Anolis sagrei: one gene and its partners. The protein of the gene in region 1 purifies or fractionates together with the protein of each later gene. This does not show direct contact. Links are inferred from orthologs where the notes say so. Each region holds a gene or a part of one and is shown on either strand. Other genes may lie near its edges.

Region 1 (8,106 bases):
TGAGAATTCAGTAGTTCCTAGAATTTGTGAATATTTCTTCAGCAAGAGAGCTGAAGGTGTTACCTTGTTAGATTGCTTAGGTTAAAGAATCTAACAGAGGGGGTTTTAAGGATCGCCAGTAAGGAAAGACTGGTGATCAGTGGTTTGTTCCGAGTATAGGGCAAACAGTGTGGACATTCACAATAGGGAACTCTGGAATAGTATAAGCACTTCACTAAAGAAGGAGTTTGTAGATTTGTAACATTCAGAAGCCTGAAAGTATCTCAAACCAGCCATTTTGTAACATCAAGCCTTGTGCCAAGTTCAAACTCTCAAAACTGCAACAATTACGTTCTGTTAACAATAAAACTTGTTCTCTTTTTATTTCAAACCTGCCTCCTCCATTGCTGTTATGCTTGGTGCATTCCACACTACCAAAATCACCTCACAACCCAACTAAAGATAAACAGAGACATAAACCAGCGTCTCTAAACATATTGGTGGCAGCTTAATAGATATTTAAAAGAAGGTTCCTCACAGAATATTGGTGGCATTAAAGAAGATTGATGCTTCCTCACATAATTTTTGGTGGCATCTAGTGAGATTAGCGCTGCTTCTTTACATTTTTGTTGACAAGCGGTGGGATTAACGCTTCGTTACATTTTTGGTTGACAAGCGGTGGGATTAACGCTTCGTTACAGTATAAATTTTACGTAATATTTTAAACACTATAATAAAAAGAAACACTATGGGTTAGGGGTACGTAAGGTGAAGGTATTGTTGGGTTCTGGGGAGGAAGGGAAATGGAAATATAGGGGGAAACAAGGAAAGAAAGGAAAAGGGTAGATGCAGGGAAAAGGGGATGGGAGTGGAGAGTCTATTGACTTCCGATCTTCTTCGTAGTGGTTATATTTATTCTCAGTCTCCCCCCCCCCCCCCCCCAATTTGCTTCTCCTTTTTATTCCATCCTTTCCAGGAAAATTCCTGTCAAACATTAGATTGTTTTATATTTTCAAACTTTTTTTCTCTTGAGTCATATAATCTTTAAACAATTGCTAATCCATTCTTTGCTTTGGACTTCCTTGGTATTTTGACAATAATTGCATCAATTTATCCATATTCATAATTTCCATCACTTTTATTAGTCAATGTTGTACTGAGGGTATTTCTTTTATTCTCCAACAACTTGCGTAGACTATTCTTGCTGCTGCTGTTAAATTGTTGAATAGTCCATCCTTGTTTTCATCTATATTTATGTCCATTATTCCTGGTGAAATATATTCTAATTTCATTTCTATTTTTATATTTAGGATTTTTTGAGATGTTTCTTGAATCTCTTTCCAATATTTTTTTGCTTTGCTACACATCCACCACATGTGGTAGAAAGTGCTCTCTTGAGTTTCACTTTTCCAACATTTATTTTGCATGTTTTTGTACATTTTCCCCAATTTTTATGGAGTTATGGACCATTTCGTTTTAATTATGTTAATATTCAGTATTGTTTTAAGATTTTTTTTAACTATATGGATTTAGTGTGTCTTTTTTGCAAGTTGCCTTGAGTCCCCGCCTAGGGGAAACACAGGATATAACTAAAAGGATGGATGGATATTTAATCAGTTGATACTGCTGGAATCCTAGATGCACTGATGCACCCGAAACTTTGGGAAACCTAAAAACTGGTTAATATGGTAGTAGTAGATCTCTTTAGGGGATTTTATTCAATATTATGGTGCAGCTACATCTGCACATAGCTGAAAGATCTTGCACTTGTTAAAAGTTTTTGCTGGGACTGGATATGGTTAAATGTTTGCACTGACCTTTGTTTGACTGCTGCTTTTCTATATACATTGAGCCTTTTGCTGAAGTTTCTGTGTTAATTGCACTGTGACTCATACTGTATTTTTCATTTTTTATCATGAAAAAAAAACACCCCAGTTTCCATTCCTTGAACATAACGTTCCTTTCATGGAAAAAAGCTTTCCTGCTTCTTCCTTCTCTCACACCCCCTGAAAATGTCTCTCTTTGAGGATTGAAGGACTCTCTGGTATCCCTTACTATGCCTTCCAATTCTGTATCCAATTTTGGATCCCAGCCCAAGTGCCTAGTACATTGTATTTTTTAAAAAATTCTTTCCTCTAGCACAAATTACTTTTGAGGATAACTTTGTATACTGAATAGGATAACTTTGTATACTGCATTTTTACCTTTTGAACAGCAGATGCCAGCAGATATCTTCTGAATTTAAAATAGAAATGTGGCCAGCGCTGCCATAGCAACAACTTCCTCTGGGCGTTGTTATTTATAGAAACATTGCTGCCTCATCTTTACATTGCTCTCTTGCTAAAGAAAGACTTCCTCAATGGCTTTAAAAAGCTCTGTTGGCGAGATACAGGGTATGGTTAGTCCTGAATTGATTTTAGCATTCTTTTGCATTAATTGTGTTTTTAATGTTTTATTTGATTTTAGTAATAAGCAGGGATTGAAAGAGCTACTTTAGACACTCCTAAGACCTTAAGGAGCATACACACTTTAAAAAAACTTTGTTTTTTTTCTTTAAACAGCAGTTGTCCCTCTCCACTTCATCTAACAACATTTCTAAAACACACAATCATCTAAAAACATTCTACAAAATACACATATAAAATATATTTCTACAAAATACGTATTAAAATATACAGAACAAAGATTAAACATAACATGCAAGCTTAAAAATTATGAATTAAACTGGTTGGGTCAGCCTGCTGGAAGAGAGGTCTTCAAGTGTATTTTAAATTGTGACAGCTAATCTCTCTGTCAGAGCTGTTCTGGCAGGTTGTTCCACAGTTGTGGGGTGGCCGATGAAAGGATCCTCTGGGTGATGGTCGCCAGTCAGGTTCTGGCAGGCTGAGTAGCCGCCCCTTAGAGGACCTGAGTGTTTAGGGTGGATTGTACGGAAGAAGGCGATCCTTTAGGTAATCTGGGCTTTAAAGATTAAAAACAACCCTTTGTACTTTGCCTGGAAACTAATTGGCAGTCAGTGGAGTGACTTTAGGATAGGTATAATATGCTCACTCCTGGATGTTCCTGGCTGCTGTATTGTGAACTAATTGGAGTTTCCGAATTTGGTACAAGGGTAGTCCAATGTAAAGCGCATTGCAGAAGTCCAACCTTGAGGTTACCGGCGCATACACTACCATCTTTAGGTCCTCCAAATCTAGGAAGGGGTGCAGCTGGAGGATCAGACAAAGTTGATAGTACTCCTGATATTTGAAGACACTGATTCAGAAGCACTCTCAAGCTGCGGGCAGAGTCTTTCAAGGGGAGTGTAACCCCATCCAGAACTGGTTAACATACCCCCACCCCAGATTAAGGTCCTTGATTGCAAACACCTCTGTTTTGTCTAGATTCAGTTTCAATTGTGTTTTCCTCATCCAGCCCATTACCTCCTCCAGGCATTCATTAGGCGATATCTGTTTAGTGTTCTCTGCTGATAACTATGCTAGGTATTTGCACTATTGACCATTTGTTGTTGTTGTTGCTGTTGTTGTGCGCCATGATGTTGTGTCTAATCTATGTTGTTTCCAACTTATGGTGGGGTTTTCTTGGCAAGATTTATTCAGAGGGGATTTGTTTTGCCTCCTTCTGAGACTGAGAGTGTGTGACTTGCCCAAGATCACCAGTGGGATTCCATGGCTGAGCAGGAATACAAACACTTGTCTCCAGAGTTGTACTCTAATGTGCAATTACTACACCATGCTGGTTCTAAATCCATGCAAAATTACAAGATTAGAACAAATTTACTTACAGTGCAATCTTGTACATGTCTGCTCAGATATCATCTTCACTGTGTATGCCCAGTGAAATTATGCAGTTTTGAGTACATAGAAAGCTCCTAAAATTCTTTCAGTAACTTATATAAAATTCTACTATTTGTTCAATATTTATCACATCTGAAAAGATGAATACATGTATTCTGTAAGTTGAAATATGAATATGTGCTATAGTAAAGAGAGAGTTGCAAACTATGGTACTTTATCTTGATTGTTGCTATATGAGAAATAGGAGGAAATAGAAACCACATATTATGTAATGAAATAAAGTGAATTATTTGGAGAGAAACAGGCTCATACATTAACACTTTTTGAAATGGACTTGTAATATGCTGAAAGTCATAAGCTCTTCAGAAGTGTATACAGTTAGCTCTCTGTGTCTACAGGTTCTGTATCCGTAGGTTCTTCATCCATAGATTTAATCGCCCATGGATTAAAAACATTACTATACCATTGTATGTAGTGGAATTTGAGAACCCCCAATTTTTGGTATCCATATGGGGTTTGGAACCAAACCCAGTGGATACCAAGTGTCCATTGTATCATCACAAATATGGGCTTCTCAGATCTGAATGATGTACATGGAGGAGTCTAAAGATTATTTTACATAAAATCTTCATACTATACAGTTTGTAGCCTTTTGAGTAAGTTGACATAAAAGCATTCCATTCATTCCCCAGATTGTTCAAAATATATTTCTCCTTCTTACACTATATGTAGCAGAAGCCCATTGTATGATTTAATATGGATAATAACTTTTTCCAAAAGTTAAAATTCAACACAAACTCTTTTAGGTATATAATATCCGTTTATGCATATAGATGTCTGCATAATCAGTTTTCTAGTGCCCTTTTTGAATTTAACAAGTGTGTTTGTTCTCAACATCATGTGGCTTGTTTGGGAAAGAGGGAAAGCACGCAAACAAGTCATGTTGCCCCCCCCCCCCCCCGTCACCACACTGAGCTGATATCGAGAGCCTGAGAATAGCTCTTGAAGTTGGTTTTATATTAACAGGAAGCAGAACAACAGTTGTGGCTAACGCACTGCATACAGGAAGTCTGACACATGCACAGCACTTGGCTTTGAAGTTGAATTCTTAAGTTTGGAGTTATTTCTTTCTTTTAACACACAAACTAAATGTGTATAGATGGCTGCTCAGAAGGAGTTACAGGGCAACCCAAGCACAGGGACTGCAAATGCTTTGCAGAGACTGGAAGGATTTGCCAACAGGCTTTTTCACAGGCACTCCAAGGGTTCCTCCAACGAACTGAAAGCAGCTCAGGAAAATGAGTCTCCGCACTTCTCTGAACTCGCTGCACTGTGGGAGAGATCAAGTAAGTGTGTGGAGGTTACTTGGTTTGTAATGGCAAGTTTTAAACTGTGGCATACTAAATATAGAAAAATGTTGACAGCCAAACTGGCCTGTTAAATGATCAGCAGGTGGATCCAAGTCTGTAGTTCTGTTTCTTGAAACACTTGCTGGTGGTGGAGTAAAATTAATGATCAGACTTCCTTTTGTCAATTTATTCTTTTACATGATTTTACCTTGACGTTTAAATGCACATTTCTTTCAAGTTGTCTTTCTAAAGCAATACGATCCTGGCCTTTCATTGTTCACTTACCTTATATTATAACTTTCAGAGGAGGGAGCATGATCTAACAAATGGACATTCAGTCCAACAAGGATGGCAAATGTACTGAAGCAGGTCACATAGAAATCACTTTTTCCATTTAGGGCCCCAAATGGGCAATACTGGTACAGTGTGGAAAATGGGGTAACCAGGGTTGTAGCCAGTAAATTTCCTCTTGTTCTATACAGCCAGCCAATCTACCTTTAATTTTTTAGAAGACCTTAGTTATATTTTCTGCTATTACACTTTAAAAAATCTATAGATTGAACCAAGTCTCTTAATGACATCTGACTGGTTTGGATATTTGTTTTCCTTTTACATTCGCTGATATTTTAAAACCACAACTGCTTCATAATAACACATTAAAATATAAGTAAAAGCAGGATTTGGCAGCATGTAGTTCAAATTAATTAGTTATTTGTAACTCAGCCCCCTTCCACACAGCTCAATAAAATCTCACATTTTCTGCTTTGAACTGGAATATATGGCAGTGTAGACTCAGATAACCCAGTTCAAAGCAGATCTTGTGGGATTTTCTGCCTTGATATTCTGTCTGTGTGGAAGGGTCCCAAGTTTCCGATTATAGTAACAGAATTATAGCTAAACTACACTTGCAACTTACTAGCATCACTCCTTTTGCAGCATTACTTTATAGTCAAAAGATTGTATCTACTAAATGGCCAGATAGTTTCAACGCTGGGTCATGTTGTACTTTTGCAGCTACCTTTTGTTGTATTACGGCTCTTAAGAAAGCAAGAAGCTCCCAGGGAAAATGGTGTTTTGCACTACAGACCAGAGGTTTTAAATATTTGTGTGTTTGTATTTTTAAAGTATTTTCTGCTGTTGTTTTTGAAAATTCAAAAAGTACAATGAATACTTTTTGTCTTTTAATCATATAATTGTTACTAATTACGTTGAAATTATAAAGACTACTCTTAAAAAAGTAGTTTTCCAAGCTAACTAAAATGCATTAACTTTCCAAAACAAAGTGCTGCTGTTTACCAGATTATTTTGTTCTAAATTTAGTTTGCTACAATTACTATATCATTCCTCAAAGGAGTACAATGTCACTTTAGCTTTACTCTAATCATGAGATATAAATTAGCTTGAGAGAGGGAGAGAAAGAGTGAAAGGCAGTGAAAGCTCTTCACAGAAGTGGTTCTTAATGTAATATTTTATATTCAAATTTTAAACCACAGTGTCACGGAAAGTACTTTATACAATATTGATAATCCAGCCTCACATAGCAGTTTGAACATTGAACAGGGCTATAGGAAGACCTGGGTCTGAATTCCCAATTGGCCATGTAAGGAAGTCCATGTAAACCATCCCTGAACAAACTTCACCAAGAAAACCCCCTTGATAGGGTCACCACAAGTCAGAAATGCCTTGAAGGCATACAGCAACATTATTGACTATAATATTGACAATACGCAACCATAATATTTTCATTACAGATTTGAGAATGTAAACACTTACACCTATTTATTTATAGATGTAGGTATATTGATACCTTTCATTTTTTTGCTTTAATTTTATATACCAAAATAAAGAAGATTCTGCTTTGGTCAAACTCTGTTACAGAGAATTGAGAGTTTGTTTGGTTTTCGTTCTGGGTTTGGAACAACTTAGTCAGCCTTCCTTATCGATGGATTCAGTATCCATGGATTCAACCAACTGTGGCTCAAAAATATTCCTAAAAATAATAAAATTTCCAAAAGCAAACCCCAATTTTGCCATTTTACAATGCCACTGTACATAATAAGAAATGAACATCTATAAATATTGGTGTCCATGTGGAGTCCTGGAACCAAACCTCTGCCCAATATGTTTACATTTACATTAAAATTAGTTATGAACAATAAGGGTAATGCTTTTACATATACACATTTGTCAATGTTATTTTAAAATAACCAATTGATTATATAGTAGACTTGCAGTTATCCAACATCCATGGGGATGGTCAATGCCAGATAAGCATAGTTTCTGGTTGCTTGAGAATTACTAATAAAGGTAGGTTTAACTAATACTATACTCAATGCCATACCCTACCATAAACTCTATATTGACTTGGTAATAGGTTGGGGCATTTGGGGGTCTGAAAATGAAAAGCTGTTTCTTTCGGCGATGCAGAAGATTGGGCCATGTTAATCTTACCTTATTAGCTGCATACCAACACAACAGCATTGGAATTTTGGAATTTATTGCCATTTCTGGAGATTTTACATGCTTCCTTCTTTTCTCCATTGCTTTGTCAGAAATTGATGTTCGTGAGAAATAGCTTAACAAGAAAATTACAGATGTTTTCCTGGGAGAAATCCCGGTGTATATATATCCACCAAAATAATGTAAAAATGGGTAAAAATCACAATCTTCTAAATTTTTCAGGACAAAATTTAAAAATCACAAAGGAGAAGGCTGGGCTCTTGTGTCTAATTTAATGTATTTGCCACTGAAATATTTCTGTTTATCTGGGGCTGCCAGGATTAAATGATGTCAATGTTGTGGCCTGTTGTTTTTTTAGAGGAAAATGGGCACTCAAAATGAAAAAAAAAGCATTCGAGGAAAGCATTTCACAGATATTTTGGATTCTTGCAGGGGTTTTTTTTTTTTTTAACTTCTGCCTAGAACTCCAACAGACTGGGTAAAACGTGCTTATGTTCAAGATTAGTGCCCTTGATGGCTCC
Region 2 (7,802 bases), on another chromosome or scaffold:
TCTGGTGTCGCTGTAAGAAGGTCCCCCATTGTGCATGTAGCAGGGCTCAGGCTGCATTGTAACAGGTGGTCTGTGGTTTGCTCTTCTCCACACTCACATGTCGTGGACTGTGGCCCCATTTCTGAAGGTTGGTTCTGCATCTCATGGTGCCAGAGCACAGTTTGTTCAGCACCTTCCAAGTCACCCCAGTCTTCTGTGTGCCCAGGAGGGAGTTTCTCATTCGGTATCAGCCATGGCTTGAGGTTCTGGGTTTTAGCCTGCCATTTTTGCACACTTGCTTGCTGGGGTGTTCCTACAAGTATCGCTGTAGATCTTAGAAAACTATTCCTTGATTTAAGGCATTGGCGTGCTGACTGATATCCAAACAGGGGATGGGCTGGATATGTTGATGCCTTGGTCCTCTCATTACTGGCTGCTACGTCCTGGCAGATATCAGGTGGTGCAATATTGGCCAAATAGTGTAATTTCTCCAGTGGTGTGGGGCATAGACATCCTGTGATAATGCGTCATGTCTCATTAAGAGCCACATCCACTTTTTTAACATGGTGAGATGTGTTCCACACTGGGCATGCGTATTCAGTAGAAGAGTAGCAAAGAGCAAGGGCAGATGTCTTCACTGTGTCTGGTTGTAATCCCCAGGTAGTGCCAGTCAGCTTTTGCACGATATTATTTCTAGCACCCACTTTTTGCTTGATAGTCAAGCAGTGCTTCTTGTAAGTCAGAGCATGGTCCAGGGTAACTTCCATGTATTTTGGTGTGCTGCAATTCTCTAGTGGGATTCCGTCCCAAGTAATCCTCAGAACTCGAGATGCTTGTCTGTTTTTTAGGTGAAACACACATGGCTGCATTTTAGATGGATTAGGAATCAGCTGGTTTTCCCTGTAATAAGTAGTAAGAGCACCTAAAGCTTTGGAGAGATTCTGTTCAATCATTTCAAAGCACCTTGCTTGAGTAGTGATGGCACGATCATCAGCATAGATGAAACTCTGTGCCAATTAAAGTGAGCATTCAAAGCATTAGAAAGAGGGGGAAATAATAGAATCCTAGAACTGGAAGAAACCCCAAAAGTATTGTCGAAGGCTTTCATGGCCGGAATCACTGGGTTGTTGTAGGTTTTTTCGGGCTATATGGCCATGGTCTAGAGGCATTCTCTCCTGAAGTTTCGCTTGCATCTATGGCAAGCATCTTCAGAGGTAGTGAGGTCTGTTGGAACTAGGAAAATTGGGTTTATATATCTGTGGAATGACCTGGGTGAGACAAAGGACTCTTGTCTGCTGGAGCTAGGTGTGAATGTTTCAACTGACCACCTTGATTAGCTTATAATGGCCTGACAGTGCCTAGAGCAAACTTTTGTTGAGGGGTGATTAGATTAAACCCCAAAAGGCCATCCACTTGAACCCCAAGAAAGAATATACAATCAACGCACTCCTGACAAATGGACATCCACCCTCCAATAAAGAACCTCCAAAGAAGGAAATGCCACCACACTAAGGCAGCATAATCCGCTGTTGATTGTGCAACAGGAAGTTTTTCCTAATATTTAGGTGGAAACTCTTCCTGCAATTTGTATCCATTTCTCCATTGCTAGTCTTTGCAGCAGCAAACAAACTGACTGCATCTCCAATATGATGGAGCAATTACATCTTGCAAGAAGCCCTTGGAGATTCCTTTTCAGGAGACTTTTGATAACCTATATATGTGCAGATGCACCCATATATGCACCTATATGGATACATCTACACTTTAGAATGAATGCAGTTTGGCACCACTTTAACTGTCATGATTTAATGCTCTGCAATTATGGGGTGTGCTTTTTTGTCAAGTTCTGTACAGGTAGCACAATAATTAAAAAGTTTCTGGAGCAACTTTGAAACATACTCTCCCCAAAAAAGGAGTTCGTGTGTAGGCGATGGGGCTTGCTATATATAACTACCTAGCTAACGGAGAGCAGAAAATTCATATAACAATTACTTGATTGTCGTTGAGTGTAAAAAGCTTCAGCGACTGTATGTTCCCCTGCATTTTATTTCTATTTAAATATTGTGTTGGAACTGGGAAAACTGATGTTTGCGGGGCCTTCAAGACAAGGAGCCAGGCTGTGCCAAAAGGTCGGTTTCAAGGCACTAATTTTTCACACCATGTGCTGAACCACTAAGGAATAAATCAGAAAATATTGGCAGCCCAAGACATCAGAGAGGTTGCCACTTGTGTGCCTGCGTGATTTATTGCTCTGTTTCTACCCCAGCTTTCATCCTTTGCTCCCTGAAGAAGAGCTGGTAGTAATCATTCTTCTGTGTTACAAATACTCCAACCATTTCCAGAATGAAAACGGCACCGTTATTTATCCATCCTCATTGCTTGCTGTAGGAGCCCCTGATGGTGCAGTGGGTGAACTCTTGTGCTGGCAGGACTGAAGACCGACAGGTCGCATGTTTGAATCTGGGGAGAGCACAGATGAGCTCCCTCTGTCAGCTCCAGCTCCCCATGTGGGGACATGAGAGAAGTCTCCCACAAAGATCGTAAAACATCAAAAACATCTGGGCAATGTCCTTGGAGACAGCCAATAGGATCACAACCTATCGGGGATTATGGATTACGCTGAACTGGATGAATCTTTACCAGTAATTGTAATTGTAAAACCATAGCTAAATGTGTTATCAAAGGCTTTCATGGCCAGAATGGGAGCCCCCAGTGGTGCAGTGGGTTAAACCCCTGTGCTGGCAGGACTGAAGACCAACAGGTCACAGGTTCGAATCCGGGGAGAGGCGGGTGAGCTCCCTCTATCAACTCCAGCTCCTCATGCAGGGACATGAGAGAAGCCTCCCACAAGGATGGTAAAAACATTAAAACATCCGGGCATCCACTGGGCAACGTCTTTGCAGACAGTCAATTCTTTCACACCAGGAGCGACTTGCAGTTTCTCAAGTCGCTCCTGACATGAGGAGCTGGAGCTGATAGAGGGAGCTCATCCACACTCTCCCTGGATTCGAACCTGTGACCTATCGGTCTTCAGTCCTGCTGGCACAGGGGTTTAACTTGTGGACCAGTAAAATGAACAAAATCTGGCTACCAGTATTTTAAAAACTCTAAAATTATAACAGTAAATAAAGAATAACACTCAAACTCAGTGGAACTCCAGACAAGAAACAACCAGGGACAGCTAATCACCCCTCAACAAAGGATTCCCCCCAGGAAGTAACAAGCCACACCTAAAAACTGTCAGGCCACCAAATGCTAATCAAGGTGGCCAATTGAAACATTCACACCTAGCTCGGACAGACAAGAGTTCTTTCTCCCATAATGGATATTCCAGATATATAATTCCAATTTTCCTAGTTTCCAACAGACCTCACAACCTCTGAGGATGCCTGCCATAGATGCAGGCGAAATGTCAGGAGAGCATGCTTCTAGCATGCTCTCCTGACATTTCTCCTGCATCTATGGCAGGCATCCTCAGAGGTTGTGAGGTCTGTTGGAAACTAGGAAAATTGGAATTATATATCTGTGGAATGCTAGAAGCACGCTCTCCTGACATTTCTCCTGCATCTATGGCAGGCATCCTCAAAGGTTGTGAGGTCTGTTGGAAACTAGGAAAATTGGAATTATATATCTGTGGAATGCTAGAAGCATGCTCTCCTGACATTTCTCCTGCATCTATGGCAGGCATCCTCAGAGGTTGTGAGGTCTGTTGGAAACTAGGAAAATTGGAATTATATATCTGTGGAATGCTAGAAGCATGCTCTCCTGACATTTCTCCTGCATCTATTGCAGGCATCCTCAGAGGTTGTGAGGTCTGTTGGAAACTAGGAAAATTGGAATTATATATCTGTGGAATGCTAGAAGCATGCTCTCCTGACATTTCTCCTGCATCTATGGCAGGCATCCTCAGAGGTTGTGAGGTCTGTTGGAAACTAGGAAAATTGGAATTATATATCTGTGGAATGCTAGAAGCATGCTCTCCTGACATTTCTCCTGCATCTATGGCAGGCATCCTCAGAGGTTGTGAGGTCTGTTGGAAACTAGGAAAATTGGAATTATATATCTGTGGAATGCTAGAAGCATGCTCTCCTGACATTTCTCCTGCATCTATGGCAGGCATCCTCAGAGGTTGTGAGGTCTGTTGGAAACTAGGAAAATTGGAATTATATATCTGTGGACTGTGGCCATACAGCTCGAAAAACCTACAACAACCCAGTGATCCTGACCATGAAAGCCTTGGGCAATACATCAAAGCAGGAAATCTAGGATCAGATCCTGGTATATAGGACACTGTAGTGTAGATCCATCCCTAGTTGAGGTGCTGCTGCCTGGACCTTGTGGGGTTTGGGCTCTGGCGGAGGAAGCAAGGGCGCTCCCTGCAGGAGGGTGGCTCTGCTGGGTTGTTGTAGGTGTTTTCGGGCTCTATGGCCATGTTCTAGAGGCATTCTCTCCTGACGTTCCGCCTGCATCTATGGCAAGCATCCTCAGAGGTAGTGAGGTGGCTCTGCTCTCCTTGCCTCCTCCTCCTCCTTCCTTCTTGGTCTCCTCCTCCTCCTCTTCCTCTCGGGAGCCAAGGAGGCGGATCTCAGCGCCGGCGCGCAAAGGCAGGAGGACCCCGAGCAGCATCCCAGGCAGCTCAGCCAAGAAGACTCCGGCAGGAGAGGCCGAGGAAAGGATGGAGAGGAGAAGCCGGGGAGCAGCAGGTGAGCAGGACATCGGTGTGGGCAGGGGAGCGGGAAGAGAAAGGACCCATGATTCCCACTCAATTCTTAAAAGAAGGGTGGGAAGAGAGGCTTGGGAAGCGTGGTGCAAGGGCGCGCACACATCCATCCACACACACTCAGAGACAGATCTATAGCTTGGGGAGAGATGGCTCTCTGGCGTGCAAAGCTTGGGGACGCACACACATAGATCCACACACATATATAGGTTGGGGGTAAAGTCACCCAGGGTCTGATGATTGAGTGGACTGGTCTTGGGCGCCATTGAAGGGTTTGGATTTTCCACACGCGATGCCAATGCATTCCCTCCTCTGTACGCCCGTATATAGGGTTGTAAAGGAAAGACGCAACGTAAATAGAGGCAGCATTCAATCTTTGTGACTTCTGTATGTGTGTGTGTATATATATGGAGAATCATAGAGTTGGGAGAGACCTCATGGGACATCCAGTCCTGTCCAACCCCCTGCTAAGGAACAGGAAAATCGCTTCTTGGCAGGGGCACTCCAATCTATCCACATACCTTGAGACAAGCACAAGAGGCAGGTGAGGGAACGGGGTTGCCAAGGCAAGCGATGGGGCAGGTGCCTTGGGTTGGCCAGGGAGGAAAGGGTGCAAGGCTGAGCCTGTGGGGTGTCTTGCCCAAAGGGAGAGGGGCGAAGAGGGGGCGCAGAGACCTTTCTGGTGCCAAGGGCGCATCCTTCTGCCTCGCCTCTCTCTCTCTCAATCTCTCTTTCCCTCTGCGCCAGGGCTTCTCTTCCTTTGGAGGCCGGGGAAATGGCTCTGGTGCCTTGCATCTGGGAGAAAGGGGCCTGCCCCGCTTCCGTGGGGTGCTCTCCTGCTTCAGTAAACCCCTCCCGAAGTCAAGGGAGGGAGGAACTCACAGCATCCAAGGGAGGAATCATCAAGGAGAGTGAGGATCACTATGGAGAGGGTGGCGCCTCCTGAGGAATAGGGTGCCTCTCTTGAAAGGGGTCAAGAAAGGGGTTTTGAGGGGCGGGAGAGTTTCCTCCCTTGTTGTTTCTGCAGCCCTTGAAGCCCTCCCTCACTCCCTTCCCTTTCAGCCTCAGTGGCCCTTCTGTAAAATAGGTTGAGCCCTTTTTTACGCAGGGTGCGCTTTGGAGAGATGGAGAGGAGACAAGCAAAGGGCGCATCCTAGGCAGAGAAGTTGTGCTTGTGTTGCCTTCAAGGCTGCACATACACCACTGGTTCCCAACCTTTTTTTGACCTAGAACCACTTGACCTGGGACCACTATGACCAGGGTCCACTCTCCAACATTCGAACCCAAAGAAGTGGTTCCCAACTTGTGGGCCGTGGTCCACTGGTGGGCCGCGAGTCCTAAAATAAAGTCAATGGTTCTAAATTATTAAATATGGTTTTCTGTGGGCAAACAGATGGCTGGACTGCTGGATGGCATGTGTTCTGTATGAGAAACCAGAGCTGATGTAGTCTATCCAATGCAATTTTCTGAATCAGCACCTCAAATAACCCCCAGAACAGTCCTAAAAACAATGACACCAAGAAAAATATTTTGTTGGTTGGGCTATGTTATTATTAGTGGATTTTGTTAACACTTGTGTTAAAAGGGGAGAGGGGACTAAGATTGAAAAAAACACAAAAAGCAGAGCGCAAGACCCAAGAAACTGTCCCTAATGGTTGCTTTAACAACTACTACTACTACTACTTTGGGGAACTTAACAGGGTCTTACAGGGGCTGTTTTCCCATTACACCTGATGTGTAGCAATGGGAGCTAATGGTTGTTGTTATTATTATTATTATTATTATTAATAATAATAATAATAATTTGGGGGATTAAATAGGGTTTTACAAAGGGCTACTTTCCCATCCATCTCTTGTATTTGACAATGGGAACTAATAATAATAATAATAATAATAATAATAATAATAATAATAATAGCAACTTTGGGGGACTAAACAGGGGCTTGAAAAGGGCTGCTTTCCCATTACAATTCATGTGTGGCAATTATTTAAATTTATTTATTTAAAACTTTTATATCCCAATCTTCTCTACCTCCGTAGAGGGACTCAAACAGGCAATGGGAGCTGCTGCTGCTTCTTCTTCTTATTATTGTTATTATTGTTGTTATTGTTGTTGTTGTTATTATTATTATTATTATTATTATTATTATTATTACTTTAGGGGACTCCCCTTCTCTCTCTTGATCTCCTCCAACAGTGCCAGGGAAGCTGTGAGAACGGTCCTGGCTTCCTTCCTTCCTTCTTTCTTTCTTTCTTTCTTTCTTTCTTTCTTTCTTTCTTTCTTCCTTTCTTTCTCTTCCTCTCCTTTTCTCACACTCCTCCAATACCAGCACACACCCCTTGCTGCAGACCTGTGAGCCATGGCCCATGGGTTGGGAACCACTGATCCACACTGTAGAATGAATGGAGTTTGGTAGCACTTTAACTCCCATGGCTCAGTGCTTAGGAATCCTGCAAGCTGTAGCTTCCCAAGACCTTTAGTCTTCTCTGTCAAAGAGTGCTGGTGCCCAACCAATTTGAGGATCCTAGGATTCCCCAGTTGAGTCATGGCAGTTAAAGTGGTGTCAAGTTGCATTAACTCCATAGTATAAATGCACCTCAAGTCCAGTCTGACCCTATGCGTGGTTTTTCTGAGGCTGAGAGGGTGTGACTTGCCCAAGGTCACCCAAGGGGTTTGCTAGGGTCCGGATGCTGTGGGCTGCAGCCCTTTGTTTCCTCTGCCTGGAAAGAGTCCTTCCTTCTTGCTGCAACTGCAAAGCTCCTGGAGCACTTTATGCATTTCCAAGAGGCTGGAATAGCAGCGACATGTGCAGTATGTATGGAATGATGACAGGCAGGCTGTTGGGGAGGGAGTAATTGGGATTTTGGGTCATTGTATGTATTGTCGAAGGCTTTCATGGCCGGAATCACTGGGTTGTTGTAGGGTTTTTTCGGGCTGTATGGCCATGGTCTAGAGGCATTCTCTCCTGACGTTTCGCCTGCATCTATGGCAAGCATCCTCAGACCTCACTACCTCTGAGGATGCTCGCAATAGATGCAGGCGAAACGTCAGGAGAGAATGCCTCTAGACCATGGCCATACAGCCCGAAAAAACCTACAACAA
Region 3 (7,502 bases), on another chromosome or scaffold:
AGGTTCTTTGTCACACTGTCCTGTGATATGGAGTTCATTGATGAAGTTGATGCTAGTTTCGGGAGAACAGGATGTGGCACAGCAGGGAGGTTGATGACAAATCCCCGGGTTCCTCACAGATGGAGAGATTTTTTTTTGTGTTGGGTGATCCAGTATGTCCATAGACTCCATTGTTCTGGATGGCCTGGCTATCAGCCCTCCGAGGTCCAGATAGATAGAGCCATTTACTTATTGTCCATGCAAATGGATCTGGTTGAGTCCTTTTTTAGGGGACTATCAGCCCAGGAAGTTTGGAAACTCCAAGAGCCATGAGTTGCTGGATCATGTAAAGGTTGTTTTCCTTAATATTTTCTAATATAGACATTAGGCCTGTTTGATCAAGAAAAAAATTGTTTCTAAAATCGATTTGTAATTGGGGTGTTTTTTTGTTTCGATATTTAAAATATTTACAAAACTTTCCAAAAAAATGTTTTGTTATTTACGAAATTTCGTAAATATTTACAAAACATTTTAGAAACAAATTTTTTCTTGATCAAACAGGCCTAGTAAGTGTGAATGTTGCAGTAATGGTCACCTTGATTAGCATTGAATGGCTTTCATTTCTCCCACCCTGGACATTCCATAGATAAACTGAAACTCCATTTGCCTAGTTTCCAACAGACCTCTGAGGAGGCCTGCCATAGATGTGGGCAAAATGTCAGGAGAGAATGCTTCTGGAACATGGTCATACATACAGCCCTGAAAACTCACAGCAAAAGAGCCTGAAAACTCACAGCAAGAGCGCCATCCGATCGGCTCCGGCTCCTGCGCCCTCCTCCTCCTCCTCCTCCTCCTCCTGGCACTTCCTGCAACACAGCTGGGAGGAGGAGGAGGAGGAGGAGGGCGCAGCAGCCGGAGCCGATTGGATGGCGCGCGCGCTCCTGCGCCCTCCTCCTCCTCCTCCTCCTCCTCCCAGCTGTGTTGCAGGAAGTGCCAGGAGGAGGAGGAGGAGGAGGGCGCAGGAGCGCGCGCGCCATCCAATCGGCTCCGGCTGCTGCGCCCTCCTCCTCCTCCTCCTGGCACTTCCTGCAACACAGCTGGGAGGAGGAGGAGGAGGAGGGCGCAGCAGCCGGAGCCGATTGGATGGCGCGCGCGCTCCTGCGCCCTCCTCCTCCTCCTCCTCCTCCCAGCTGTGTTGCAGGAAGTGCCAGGAGGAGGAGGAGGAGGAGGAGGAGGGCGCAGGAGCGCGCGCGCCATCCAATCGGCTCCGGCTGCTGCGCCCTCCTCCTCCTCCTCCTCCTCCTGGCACTTCCTGCAACATAGCTGGGAGGAGGAGGAGGAGGAGGAGGGCGCAGCAGCCGGAGCCGATTGGATGGCGCGCGCGCTCCTGCGCCCTCCTCCTCCTCCTCCTCCTCCCAGCTGTGTTGCAGGAAGTGCCAGGAGGAGGAGGGCGCAGGAGCGCGCGCGCCATCCAATCGGCTCCGGCTGCTGCGCCCTCCTCCTCCTCCTCCTGGCACTTCCTGCAACACAGCTGGGAGGAGGAGGAGGAGGAGGGCGCAGCAGCCGGAGCCGATTGGATGGCGCGCGCGCTCCTGCGCCCTCCTCCTCCTCCTCCTCCTCCTAGCTGTGTTGCAGGAAGTGCCAGGAGGAGGAGGAGGAGGAGGAGGAGGGCGCAGGAGCGCGCGCGCCATCCAATCGGCTCCGGCTGCTGCGCCCTCCTCCTCCTCCTGGCACTTCCTGCAACATAGCTGGGAGGAGGAGGAGGAGGAGGAGGGCGCAGCAGCCGGAGCCGATTGGATGGCGCGCGCGCTCCTGCGCCCTCCTCCTCCTCCTCCTCCTCCCAGCTGTGTTGCAGGAAGTGCCAGGAGGAGGAGGAGGAGGAGGAGGGCGCAGGAGCGCGCACGCCATCCAATCGGCTCCGGCTGCTGCGCCCTCCTCCTCCTCCTCCTCCTCCCAGCTGTGTTGCTCGCGCCGCCCCTTCACCCCGCCCGCCCCATTTACTGCTGGGTGCTTGGGAGCGCCGGATTGGCTCCCAGGCACCAGCAGCACAGCAGCCTCCATCCCATTAACGAGACGAGCTGAAGCTCGTAAAAAAAATGGGGCTGCTGTTTCGATATTTTTAAACCCTTCCGGGTTTGAAAATATGTTTTGAAATCGCGTCGGATATGGTAAAAATAACGATTAAATTACGAAATAACGAATTAACGAACTAAAACCGACAGGCCTAATAGACATACATAGATGCAGGGGATGGGGGTATGGGAGCATACATAGAGTTTATGGGGGGAGGGGGAATCATGCAGGGTCTAAGGGGAAATCATGTAAGCCCCCCAAAAGCCCATAAAAGTTCATAATGTTTGGCAAAAGTTTATAAAAGTTCCCATAAATTTCATGAAAGTTCATATGAACACATAAGAGTTCATGGGGGTGGGTGCATGGAAGTTCAGGGGAGCACTGAGTAGTCGGAGTCCATTCATAAAAACAGGAGGAGAGATAGGGGATTATGGGATCATTCCAGCCTGATGCCCTTGGCAAAACTATGAATTCCCTAATTTTGAACTATTTGTTCAGAATTCCGGGGGTGGGGTAGGGGTGGGTGGGGGGGCGGGTGACCTCCGATCACAGCCCTATATACCAGAATATCAAGGCAGAAAATCCCACAATATCTGCTTTGAACTGGGTTATCTAAGTCCACACTCAGATAATGTGGCATTTTCTGCCTTGATATTCTGGGATAAAGGGCTATGTGGAAGGGCCCTGGGAATATGGCAATGAGGACTCAGATAACCTAGATCAGGGGTCCTCAAACTAAGGCCCAGGGGCCAGATACGTCCCTCCAAGGTCATTTACCCGGCCCTCGCTCAGGGTCAACCTAAGTCTGAAACTACTTGAAAACACACACCAATAACAACAATCCTATCTCATTAGGCAAAAGTAGGTCCACACTTCCCATTGAAATACTAATAAGTTTATATTTGTTAAATTTTTTATTTTAATTATTGTATTGTTTTCAAGTGTTTTTTGCACTACAAATAAGATGTGCAGTGTGCATAGGAATTCATTCATGGTTTTTTTTTCCAAATTATAATCCGGCCATCCAACAGTTTGAGGAACTGTGACCTGGCCCTCTGTTTACAAAGTTTGAAGATCCCTGGCCTAGATTTTGAAAGCCACTCTATAATGATATAGAATCAATACCATTGGCATATCATGTTGTTCATTCGTTCAGTCGTCTCCGACTCTTCGTGACCTCATGGACCAGCCCACGCCAGAGCTCCCTGTCGGCCGTCACCACCCCCAGCTCCTTCAAGGTCAGTCCAGTCACTTCAAGGATGCCATCCATCCATCTTGCCCTTGGTTGGCCCCTCTTCCTTTTGCCTTCCACCTTCCCCAGCATAATTGTCTTCTCTAGGCTTTGCTGTCTCCTCATGATGTGACCAAAGTACTTCAACTTTGTCTCTAGTATCCTTCCTTCCAGTGAGCAGCCGGGCTTTATTTCCTGGAGGATGGACTGGTTGGATCTTCTCGCAGTCCAAGGCACTCTCAGCACTTTCCTCCAGCACTACAGCTCAAAAGCATCGATCTTCCTTCGCTCAGCCTTCCCTAAGGTCCAGCTCTCACATCTGTAGCTTACTACAGGGAATACCATGGCTTTGACTAGGCAGATCTTTGTTGCCAGTCTGATGTCTCTGCTCTTTACTATTTTATTTAGAGTGGACATTGCTCTCTTCCCAAGAAGATTTCATCTGATTTCCTGGCCACAGTCTGCATCTGCAGTAATCTTTGCACCTAGAAATATCATATAATATTCTAATATATGTTACTTTGCACACAGATCTGCTGATATTAATGAAATGTTGGTCTTTTAAGGACTAACATTGTAACGCAGGCATGGGGCAAACTTGGGCCCTCCGGGTGTTTTGGACTTCAACTCCCACAATTCCTAACAGCCTCAGGCTTCTTCCTTAAACGGCTGAGGAGGAAAAGGAAGAGGCCTGAGGCTGTTAGGAATTGTGGGAGTTGAAGTCCAATACACCTGGAGGGCCCAAGTTTTGCCCCAAGCCTGCTGTAACGTGTTGCAGTGAAGGCCCCAGGTGTGTCCTCTTCCTCAGCCCGGGCCCTGGCAGTGGCACCTCAAGGGCGCTCCTGCGCATGCGCGGTACGTCAGGCGACGCGGCGGGGGCGCGTGCGGCAGATGGAGACTGAAGGGGGCCGCGGCGGCCGCCGTCCGGAGAGGCAGTTGGGGATGGAGGCCACGAGTCTCGCGAGAGGAAGTGGCGAAGGGGCCCCAGCTGCGGCGGCGAGGTGGTTTGGGCTGCGGTGAGGAGGGCGCGGCGGAGGTCTGAGGCAATTGGCCGGCGGCAGGTAAGGCGGCGGCCCCTCAGAAAGACGAAGGGAAAGGAGCCCAATGGTGGCGGCCGAAGGAAGGAGGCCTGTCAGGCCCCGCATGCCTCTTCGCCCCATTTCCCTCACGGGTTATCTCTCTCTCACACACACACACAGCCCAGGGAAGGTTAATACTTGACCAATGCCCAAAGGAAGGATTTCTGAGGCGGGCCGTTGAGGCGTTTTTAGGTCGCTTGGGGCCGGAGTCAACTCCCAATTGCTTCGGCCACGAAGGGGTTACGGGCTGCCAGGCGTTTTGGACTTCAACTCCCAGAATCCCTGAGCGTCGGCCTAGGCAGCCAAGGCTTCTGGGAGTTGAAGTCCAATACCCGCGAAGGAACAGAGTCTGACAGCCTCTGACAGCTTGTCTCACAGCTTCGCCTCAGGATACAACTTTAGTAATAATAACAACAACGACAATAATAACAACTAGCTGTCCCCTGCCACGCGTTGCTGTGGCCCAGTCTGGTGATCTGGAAAATAAAGTGACGAGAAAGTGTTGGTTTCTAATATATGTAATTTCTTTCTGCTTGTGGGTAAACAGTATTTCTTCTTGTTTCTTTGTCAATATTGGTATAGAGATTGTCTGGTCTGCCTTCTCTGGAACATGCAACATATAATTGTCCTTCTTTAGGGGTCCCTTTCAAATCTAGGATACAATATCTGTGTGTGTGTGTGTGAATCATATATATCTATCTATATCTTGGCCCCCCCGGTGGCGCAGTGGGTTAAAGCACTGAGCTGCTGAGTTTGTTGACCAAAAGGTCGCAGGTTCGATTCCAGGGAGTGGTGTGAGCTTCCGCTGTCAGTCCTAGTTTCTGCCAACCTAGCAGTTTGACAACATGCAAATGTGAGTAGATCAATAGGTACCGCTCCGGCGGGAAGGTAACGGCGCTCCATGCGGCCATGCTGGCCACATGACCTTGGAGGTGTCTATGGACAACGCTGGCTCTTCGGCTTAGAAATGGAGATGAGCACCAAACCCCAGAGTCGGACACGACTGGACTTAATGTCAGGGGACAACCTTTACCTTTTTATCTGTGGCTAGATGGCTCTTTATCAGGAGGGCTTTGAATACATTTTCTTGCCCTGGTGAAGGGAGTTGGACTGGATGCCCTTAAGTATGGGGGTTCTGTGTGGGAAGTTTGCCCCAATTCTGTCATTTGTGGGGTTCAGCATGCTTTTTGATTGTAGGTGAACTATAAATCCCAGTAACTACAACTCCCAAATGTCAGGGTCTATTTCCCCCAAACTCCATCTGTGTTCATATTTGGGCATATGGAGCATCCGTGCCAAGTTTGGTCCAGATGCATCATTGTTTGAGTCCACAGTGCTCTCTGGGTATAAGTGTACTACAACTCCCAAACTCAAGGTCAATGCCTACCAAACCCTTCTAGTCTTTTCTGTTGGTCATGGGAATCCTGTGTGCCACATTTGGTTCAATTCCATCATTGATGGAGTTCAGAATGCTCTTTGATTGTAGGTTAATTATAAATCCCAGGAGCTACAACTCCCAAATGACAAAATCAATTTTTTTTTTTAGTGAAGGACATACATTAGGTTGTTAGGTGTATGCCGTCCAAATTTGGTGTCAATTTGTCCAGTGGGTTTTGAGTTGTGTTAATCCTACAAACAAACATTACATTTTTATTTATATAGATAATAATAACTAGCCGTCCCCTGCCATGCATTGCTATGGCCCAGTCTGGTGATCTGGAAAATAAAGTAAAGAGAAAGTGTTGGTTTCTAATATATGTAATTTCTTTATGCTTTTGGGTGAGTAGTATTTCTTGCTGTTTCTTTGTCAGTGTTGATGAGGAGATTATCTGGTTTGCCTACTCTGGAACATGCAGACTGTGCACGTTTGGGACTGTGCAATGAAGCAGCGATAGGAACCTTTAGTATGCCAACCAAATTTGATATGGTTGTTCAGACAGTTTTAAGTAGTGGATTTTAATGTCAAGATAAGTGGTTTTAATGCTTTTGCATGTGTATGGTCTAATATGTTTCGGCATTGAATGTTTGCAGTTTATATGTTGTGCTACGCCCTGAGTCCCCTTCGGGGTGAGAAGGGCGGAATATAAATGCTTTAAATAAATAAATAAATAAATAAATAAATAATTGTCCTTCTTTAGGAGTCCCTTTCAGATCTAGGATACTATATCTGTGTGTGTGTGAATCATATATATCTATCTATATCTATGGCTGGATGGCTCCTTGTCAGGAGGGATTTGATTACGTTTTCTTACCCTGGTGAAGGGAGTTGGTCATGGGAGGCCTGTGTGTGACGTTTGGTTAATTCCATCATTGGTGGAGTTCAGAATGCTCTTTGATTGTAGGTTAATTATAAATCCCAGCAACTACAACTTCCGAATGACAAAATCATTTTTTTTAGTGATGGTCACTCCTTGGGTTAGTAGGTGTCTTGTGGCCAAATTTGGCGGCAATTCGTCCAGCAGATTTTGAGTTATGATGTCACTCAAAACAAACAGAGCATTTAGATAGATAGATAGATAGATAGATAGATAATAATACAGACAGAGAAGCCATTGGAATCCACAAGCGTGTGGACAATTTCAATAGAAAGGAGGAAACCATGAAAATAAACAAAATCTAGCTACCAGTATGGAAAAAAACCCCACTAAAATCAGGACAGGAAATAAAGAACAACACTCTGAAAAACAGGGGAATTCCAGACAAGAATCAACCAGGGCCAGCTAACATATCCCAACAAAGGATGCCCCAGGCAGCAACCAGCCAGGCTTTGAAGCTGCAAGGCTAATCAAGGTGGACAATTGCAACATTCACTCTCCCCAAGTAGACAAGAGTTCTTTCTCCCACCCTGGACATTCCACAGATATATAAATCCCACTTGCCTAGTTTCCAACATACCTCACAATCTCTGAGCATGCCGGGCATAAATGTGGGCCAAACATCAGGAGAGACTGCCTTTGGAACATGATTATGCAGCCTGGAAAGCTCCCAGCAACACAATAATTTTATTTCTTCCCCACCTCTTCTCATGGCTTGAGGGTGATTATAAAGGAATTAAAACACACAAACACAGCAAAAACATGACAAATACACACACTAAAACGTACCTCCATAAAATTTACGCACCAAAATGTATCTCGGCA
Region 4 (8,195 bases), on another chromosome or scaffold:
TTAAGGCAAACAAAATAAGAAACACACCAAAACATTCTGGAAAAATTATTTACAGAAATACTTTACATATAATAATAAGTCTTTTTAGAAATTGCGGGCAGCCAGAAAACTGAACAATGGTTTAAAATTATTGTGTAGAATGCCCTGTTCATTAATGAAGTATATATACTTGCTTGCTTATCCAGACATTTTTAAAACCCATTAAGTATCAAATATACTATAATGTATGACACAAGGTGTCTACAAATAGATTCTATCCCTTAACTGAGGGGGGTGGATCACAAGAATCAGATATACAAATGTTAGTCTGCTTCTATATCACGTGGTACAAGGGCTGGGGGTGGTGCCGCAGGCATGCCTGACAGCCCATTGTGTGGAGGAGAACTTGCATGGTGGCAAATCTCACACTGCATTTCTTAGAATTGTGTTACTTTTGGCCTATAGTGTTTCTAACTATGCTGTCTGCATTGCTGTTTTATTCTGACTGCATTGCACTTCTGCTCCAATGCCTGAGAAGGCTGAGATTCATACATTCTTAATACCATTCATTCCTGTGAGAGCTATGCACACATGCGACCTCCAAGAAGTCTTTTTCACCTCCAAGAAGCCTTTTAAAGATCTCTTAATCAGATTGTCTGATTCTGCAATAAGAAGAATCACCGCCACCAGTTGGCACCTGTGGCATTTTCAAGGCATGCACTTGTGTCTCTGTCCAGCAGCAACAGCTGTCAAGAGCCAATCGCATTACAACACATACAGGCAAGTAAGCAAGCGCCTTGTTCTGCAGCTTTTCATTTTCATGAGAAGGTGGACCCCGGTATACCGATTAGCATTACCACCACCTCCAGCATATACGCACAAAGAAAGAGCCCCAAACAAAGAAAGCGCAGCACGGGAAAGATGCCAAGGCACGCCTCTCTCCCTCCTACAATAACACAGGTCTACAATGGGGAAAAAACTCCCCCTTCACAAATATTGATATATTTTTGGGGTGATGAGTTAGAAAAATACAATAACAATGCCATATCACATGAGACGTCTTGTTACAAATTTCAACAACATTTAGTCACAGCTCAAACAAAAATAAAAATGCAATCAAAACGTCATACCACCCAACACTTTGTCCACAAATTTCAACACCAGTCACAATCCTGTCATAAAAGAAACACCAAAATGCCGCACCACAGGTTTCTTTTACAGGTGTCAGTCCCAGATGACAATGAAAAAACCCAAACAACTTGTGGGGAGAAGAAAATTCAATACTATCGTAACTCCAGCTGGCAACATAGGTATATCAAAGCAAGTTGTGTATGGAATAAGCTTATACATAATGTCACAAACCTAAGATCATTTGAGGGGACTCTGAACCTCAAATTCCTACAAAACCCAATATAAATGTTTTAAATGTCATGACTCAATTTTGCAGTGAAACAATTCTCAGAGCTATGGATGCAGCTACACCAGATATAGACAAACTTCAGCCCTCCAGATGTTTTGGACTCTAACTCCCACAGCTGGTAGACTGTTAGGAATTGTGGAAGTTGGAGTCCAAAACACTTGCAGGGCCAAAGTTTGCCCATGCCTGATCTACACCATAGAATGAAGGCATTTTGACAGAAGTTTAACTTAATGCTATGGAATTTTAGGATGTGTAGTTTGGTGAGGCATCAGCCCCCTTTGACAGAAAAGGCTAAGGATCGGAGACTAAAATGATCAAGGGTCTGGAGAACAAGCCCTATGAGGAGCGGAGCGGCTTAAAGACCTGGGCATGTTTAGCCTTAAGAGAAAGCTGAGAGGAGACATGATAGCCATGTATAAATATGTGAGAGAAAGTCACAGGGAGGAGGGAGCAAGCTTGTTATCTGCTGCCCTGGAGACTAGGACGCGGAACAATGGCTTCAAACTACAAGAAAGGAGATTCCATCTGAACATTAGGAAGAACTTCCTGACTGTGAGAGCTGTTCAGCAGTGGTACTCTCTGCCCCGGAGTGTGGTGGATGCTCCTTCTTTGGAGGTTTTTAAACAGAGGCTAGATGGCCATCTGTTAGGAGTGCTTTAAATGCAATATTCCTGCTTCTTGGCAGGGGGTTGGACTGGATGGGGTCTCTTCCAACTCTATGATTCTATCTTTTGGAGGTATTTTGAATGAATTTTACTGCTTCTTGGAAGGAGGTTGGACGGGATGAGGTCTCTTCCAACTCTATGATTCTATCTTTTGGAGGTGTTTGGAATGAATTTTACTGCTTCTTGGAAGGAGGTTGGACGGGATGAGGTCTCTTCCAACTCTATGATTCTATCTGTTGGAGGTGTTTTTGAATGAATTTTCCTGCTTCTTGGAAGGAGGTTGGACGGGATGAGGTCTCTTCCAACTCTATGATTCCATCTGTTGGAGGTGCTTTGAATTAATTTTACTGCTTCTTGGCAGGGGGTTGGACGAGATGGCCCATGAGATCTCTTCCAACTCTATAATTCTACGATCGAACTACAACTTCCAAATTCCCACAGCACTGAGTTAAACTGGTGTCAGAATGCAATCATTATATTACATGGACCGGTAACCTTGACCCTCTCCTCTCTTCCTAGGTATCGAGGATGCATCTGCACTGGAGAAATAATGCAGTTTAACACTTCAATTGCCATGTTACCATACTAGAGAAATGTGGTGTTATAATTTTGCAATATCAGGCATGGGCAAACTTGGGCCCTCCAGGTGTTTTGGACTTCAACTCCCACCATTCCTAACAGCCTCAGGCCCCTTCCTTTCCCCCCTCAGCCGCTTAAGCCGCTTAAGCGGCTGAGGGGGAAAAGGAAAGGGCCTGAGGCTGTTAGGAATGGTGGGAGTTGAAGTCCAAAACACCTGGAGGGCCCAAGTTTGCCCATGCCTGCCTGACATCCTTCCACAACACTGGGTCATGACAGTTAAAGCTCTGTCAAACTGTACTGATCCTCCAAAGTCGCTTCAGGCCTTCCTCTCCTCCGCCTCCAGTCCTTACCTTGGCCTTGCCAGCCTCCAGCTTCTTCTGCCTCTCCTCGTCCTCCATGGTCCCTGAGGCGGGAAAAGAGAGAGACCACAGTGTTTATTATGATTATGACCAAAGCCGTAAAGGGAGGAAGTGGCCCTGAGGGCCCCAAAACGAGCGTCTTTTCTTTACCCGTCTCCCCCCGCAGTCACACGCGAGAGAGGCCAGCTCTGCCCGGCTACGAGGAGAAGAGCAAGCTCTGTGGCGGACCCACCGGCGCCGCCATCTTCGCCTCCACGTAAACACGCGGCCGGGGAAAGTGACGTCACGGGCCCAGCCCCGCCCCCAAACGCCTCCCGTTCGCTGCCCACCTGAAGGGAGGCTGTTCCTCCGAGCGGCGGGAGGGAGCGCGGCAACGGGGACAGCCGTTGCCATAGCACCGCCTTAAAGAGCTTCGCGTCCCTTGGCAGACCCCCAGGGTGGCTTTTCTTTAACCTTGGGTTTATTTTCGGTGTCACGCAGTTTGACACCGCTTTAACACCGCCATGGCTCAGTGTTGTGGTGTAATGGGAGTTGTAGTTTTACTAAGGACGCTTCTGCACTGTATTTTGACACCCCTGTTACTGTCAAGAGAGTTCTAGTTTGGTACTGTTCCATAGTTTTACCATGAGAGCAGTAGCTTTACTTAGAAGTTGTAGTTTGGCCAAGGATAACATCCTGGGAGCTGTAGTTTTACTAAGGGCGCCTCTTCACTAGAATGCATGCACTTCGACACCCCTGTAACTGCCAAGAGAGTTCTAATTTAGTATTCTTCCATCGTTTTACCAAGAGAGCTGTGGCTTTACCTGGGAGTTATAGTTTTTTCCCCCAAGGATAACATGGGAGTTGTAATTTTACTAAGACCGCTTCTACACTGTAGAGCGAATGCCCTTTGACACTCCTTTAACTTCCATGAGACTGTTTTATCAAAGGAGCTGTGACTTTTCCTGGGAGTTATAGTTTTCCCCCCCAAGGATAACATGGGAGTTGTAGTTTTACTAAGTGCGCTTCTACACTGTAGAGTGAATGCCCTTTGACACTCCTTTAACTTCCATGAGAGTTCTTGTTTAGTACTGTTCCTTAGTTTTACCAAGAAAGCTGTGACTTTGCCTGGGAGTTGTAGTTTTTGCCAAGGATAACATCCTGGGAGTTGTAGTTTTACTAAGGGTGCCTCTACACTGTCGAGTGAATGCACTTTGACACCCCTTTAACTCCCACAAGAGTTCTAGTTTAGTACTGTTCCTTAGTTTTACCAAGAAAGCTGTGGCTTTACTTGGAAGTTGTAGTTTTTTCCAAGGATAACATGGGAGTCGTAGTTTTACTAAGAGCACTTCTACACTGTAGACTTTTGACACTCCTTTAACTTCCATGAGAGTTCTTGTTTGGTATTGTTTTATCAAAGGAGCTGTGACTTTGCCTGGGAGTTGTAGTTTTTGCCAAGGATAACATCCTGGGAGTTGTAGTTTTACTAAGGGTGCCTCTACACTGTAGAATCCATGCACTTTGCCATCCCTGTAACGGCCAAGAGAGTTCAAGTTTGGTACTATTGCATCTTTTTACCAAGAGAGCTGTGGCTTCACCTGGGAGTTATAGTTTTTTCCAAGGATAACATGAGAGTTGTAGTTTTACTAAGAGGGCTTCTACACTGTAGAGTGAATGCCCTTTGACACCCCTTTAACTTCCACGAGAGTTCTAATTTGGTACTGTTCCATAGTTTTACAAAGTTTTACCATCCTAGGAGTTATAGTTTTACTAAGGGTGCCGCTGCACTGTAGAGTGAATGCACTTTGATACTCTTTTAACTGCCACAAGAGTTCTAGTTTTACCAAGGGAGCTGGAGTTGTATATTATTATTATTATTATTATTAGAAACACAACAAGACGAGTCCACAGCAAACAAGATAACTTTGCTGGTTGTTATATTGAATCACACGTCGGACATTTCCCAAGTGTCTAGGACTGTGTGATGTATCGGCGAGTAATGCATGCAGATCCCAGTAAGGTGGCCTTTTGCAGCTGGCAGATGGTAATTTTGTCAGCGCCAGTTGTGTTTAAGTGCAGGCCAAGGTCTTTAGGCACTGCACCCAATGTGCCGATCACCACTGGGACCACCTCACAATTAAAAGTATCACAATACAATTTAAAATATACAATATAAGGCATTAAAGCAGTATTAAATGTCATTGGTATTTAAAACAATTCAAGTTAAAACCATAAAAGCATATAAAGGTGTTACCAAGGGTAACATCCTGGAAATTGAGGTTTTGCCAAAGTTCGCACTACATTGTAGAATTAATGCACTCTGACATGACTTGCACACACTGCTGCCGTGGCTCAGCATTGAGCCATGGCAGTTAAAGTGGTATTAAACTGCATTAATTCTACACTGTGATGTACTCAAGGACTTGCAAAACTTGCAATAGGATAATGTGGCTTCAGACTGTTCATCGCAGTCAAGTTCCTTCGTCTGTGAACTGTGACATTTTCTAGAACACTGGCCATCTTATTCTCTTAGAACAAAACAAACAAAGATTATTGTGGCTCTATAAATACCAATGTTAATGGCACAACATTTGGTGAACTATAGGGCATCTTTTTTCATTAAAATCTGTACCATAATAATTGTTTTAGTTTTCAAAGAGCTACAAGGCCGCTTGTTGTTATGAGGATGTGGCAATAATAATACCAAGTTATTTGTTGCTCATGATTTTGAATCACTTTTCAAATGAAAAGTTATGTTTGCCGTTCTGCAAAACTATTTTCCTAGTAATACCAATCTATTGAGGCCCTGAAAGATGGTCTATAAGTAAAGGTCCTTAATTAATTTGTTCAATCGATAAATAAAACCCACGGTTTGTGTGAATCACAACCTGATCTTATGAAGCCAATTAATTCAGTGACTAAGTGTGCTTAATTTTGCAGAAGATTAGCCTGTTAAATTAATGGGATTGAATTACTGTCATTAGAATGAATTTTAAATGATTGCACAAGAACCTTTGTTTGAATCATTTATAGAAACACTTTCTGTTTTAATTGAAGGAGCAATCTATATCCCCTTTATAAAATTGGTTACTATTGGTTACTATCTGTTTACTTGGAGGAGAATATCTCCTTTGGTTACTATCTGTTTACTTGGAGGAGAATATCCCTCTTGCACACAGATAAATAAAGTAAAATCAATATCTAAAACAGAATAATACACTTTTGCTGTTATTTTAAGTTTTCAAAACTGTCCCATTTTCAGAGGAGCAAGATTTAATTTTACACTTACAATTCACATTTATTGGCTGTGAAATATTTCTGATTATTTTGTTTGCTCAGAAAATGAGATTCTGAAAGGGAATTGAAAAGTTTGCCTAGAGGCCTATGTCTAGAAGTGCAGTGCTATCCTAATAATATAATATAATATAATATAATATAATATAATATAATATAATATAATATAATATAATATATTGTATATACATATAATATTTATAATATTATAATGTAATTCAATATAATAACAATATGATATTATAATTATATATTAATATGTGTAATATTACTAATAATATTATGTTATAGTAGTATGGTGCAATATAGCTATGTTTAATGCTGATATTGTACTATGCTAATAATATAATATTGTATGTAATATATACCTTGTAAGCCGCTCTGAGTCCCCTTCGGGGTGAGAAGGGCGGCATATAAATGTTGTAAATAAATAAATAAATAAACCTCCATCACATGATGATCAAAATGCCCATTGCCAGGGGGTCCAAAATTCATACAGTTGTGTCCATTGCTTTCCACACCTCTATGATATATGTATGCATATTTGAGTACATGTAAAAGTAAAGGTTTCTCCTTGACATTAAGTCCAGTCGTATCCGACTCTGGGGGGTTGTACTCATCTCCATTTCTCAGCCAAAGAGCCAGTGTTGTCCATAGACACCTCCTAGGTCATGTGGCCAGCATGACTGCATGGAGCGCCGTTACCTTCCCACCGAAGCAGTACCTATTGATCTACTCACATTTGCATGTTTTCAAACTGTTCGTTTGGCAGAAGTTGGTGCTAACAACGGAAGCTCACCCTTTTCACGGATTCAGACCACTGACCTTCTGATCAGCAAGTTTTGCAGCTTAGTGGTTTAACCCACTGCACCACCGTGGCCCCTTGTGTACATATCAACACACTAAATTAAAGCATAAGGACCTGACAATATGTTGTTGGAGAAGCTCTTTTGCTCTAGCCATTTGGAAGATAGCAGCTCAGCTTAGAAGGAATTACGAGAAAAATTAAAATATATCATTGTCTCTGCTAATCAAGAAGTTCCAAGCCCTGACTTGAGTCCCTATATTGGGAAAAAGGCAAGATAAAACAAAGTAAATAATGAATAAAATAAATAAAAATATTACGTTGCTGTTTGGATCCGAAAAAAAGAGGATAAAGAGGGTCTGAAGGCAGAAAGGCTAAGGAGCAGGAAGATAAAGAAGCATGGGAGATAAAGAACAGGCTAGAGTATGCAGACTTTGAAATGTAGGTCATTCAGGGAACGCTAGACAGAAGAAACAGAATGGACAAAGAGCAAAGAGGATAGAAAAAGAATGAATAAGGAAGGCGATTTTGTAAATTATGCATTAGGACTGAAAGAGCTCTCCATGAATGACAGGAAAAGTGGGTGGGAAATAAGCAAAAAGTGCTGACAGGCACTATAAAGTATTGACTGTGGATGTTAAGTTTTCTCTAAGATGAAACTTATGGCGGCCAAAACGAATGTAATACCATATCAGTCATGGGGAACTTATTTCACCATGCAAGTGTTCCACACATGCCCCATGTATAAAACTATTTACTAGGTGATTCATTCTTTTTTTCCAATTCCATTTAATATTATTTCTAAAACAGAAAAAGAAAACATCGTAATAACTTGATAAATTATAATTTTGCAAGCTAAGTGCATTCATCAACACATTTAGCATTCCTGTGCTCAGCAAATTAAGAAGACATGGCTATAGCATGCGAACTGCACATGTAAATAGATTTGACTCTTTATGTGTGAAATATTCAGAGAAGACTTTGTCCATGAACCACATCACATTATTCTAAAGGAAGCTGTCTTAAATCACATGATTGCTCATTATATTGAGTTATCATTGTCTGGCTCAATTAATATACTGGTCGTCCCTAAGTTACAAACATCCGACTTACAA

Evidence for each region.
Region 2: the proteins of PRKACB (region 1) and AKAP5 purify together in Homo sapiens (affinity purification with mass spectrometry; 4 studies listed by BioGRID and IntAct, counting the BioPlex papers as one, with this or other methods). This does not show direct contact. The link is inferred for Anolis sagrei from reciprocal best matches to the Homo sapiens genes PRKACB and AKAP5.
Region 3: the proteins of PRKACB (region 1) and AKAP11 purify together in Homo sapiens (affinity purification with mass spectrometry; 5 studies listed by BioGRID and IntAct, counting the BioPlex papers as one, with this or other methods). This does not show direct contact. The link is inferred for Anolis sagrei from reciprocal best matches to the Homo sapiens genes PRKACB and AKAP11.
Region 4: the proteins of PRKACB (region 1) and AKAP9 purify together in Homo sapiens (affinity purification with mass spectrometry; 5 studies listed by BioGRID and IntAct, counting the BioPlex papers as one, with this or other methods). This does not show direct contact. The link is inferred for Anolis sagrei from reciprocal best matches to the Homo sapiens genes PRKACB and AKAP9.

Annotation. Positions count from the first base shown.
Region 1 is NC_090024.1:155,447,713-155,455,818, reverse strand, and holds the start of PRKACB (cAMP-dependent protein kinase catalytic subunit beta), read left to right. Parts: upstream 1-4,920; 5' UTR 4,921-4,935; coding exon 4,936-5,122; intron 5,123-8,106. UniProt on the Homo sapiens protein: Mediates cAMP-dependent signaling triggered by receptor binding to GPCRs.
Region 2 is NC_090021.1:330,256,593-330,264,394, reverse strand, and holds the start of AKAP5 (A-kinase anchor protein 5), read left to right. Parts: upstream 1-4,529; 5' UTR 4,530-4,682; intron 4,683-7,802. UniProt on the Homo sapiens protein: Multivalent scaffold protein that anchors the cAMP-dependent protein kinase/PKA to cytoskeletal and/or organelle-associated proteins, targeting the signal carried by cAMP to specific intracellular effectors.
Region 3 is NC_090023.1:145,617,479-145,624,980, reverse strand, and holds the start of AKAP11 (A-kinase anchor protein 11), read left to right. Parts: upstream 1-4,125; 5' UTR 4,126-4,344; intron 4,345-7,502. UniProt on the Homo sapiens protein: Binds to type II regulatory subunits of protein kinase A and anchors/targets them.
Region 4 is NC_090026.1:102,885,573-102,893,767, forward strand, and holds the start of AKAP9 (A-kinase anchor protein 9), read right to left. Parts: upstream 3,270-8,195; 5' UTR 3,153-3,269; intron 3,047-3,152; 5' UTR 3,042-3,046; coding exon 2,994-3,041; intron 1-2,993. UniProt on the Homo sapiens protein: Scaffolding protein that assembles several protein kinases and phosphatases on the centrosome and Golgi apparatus. Required to maintain the integrity of the Golgi apparatus. Required for microtubule nucleation at the cis-side of the Golgi apparatus.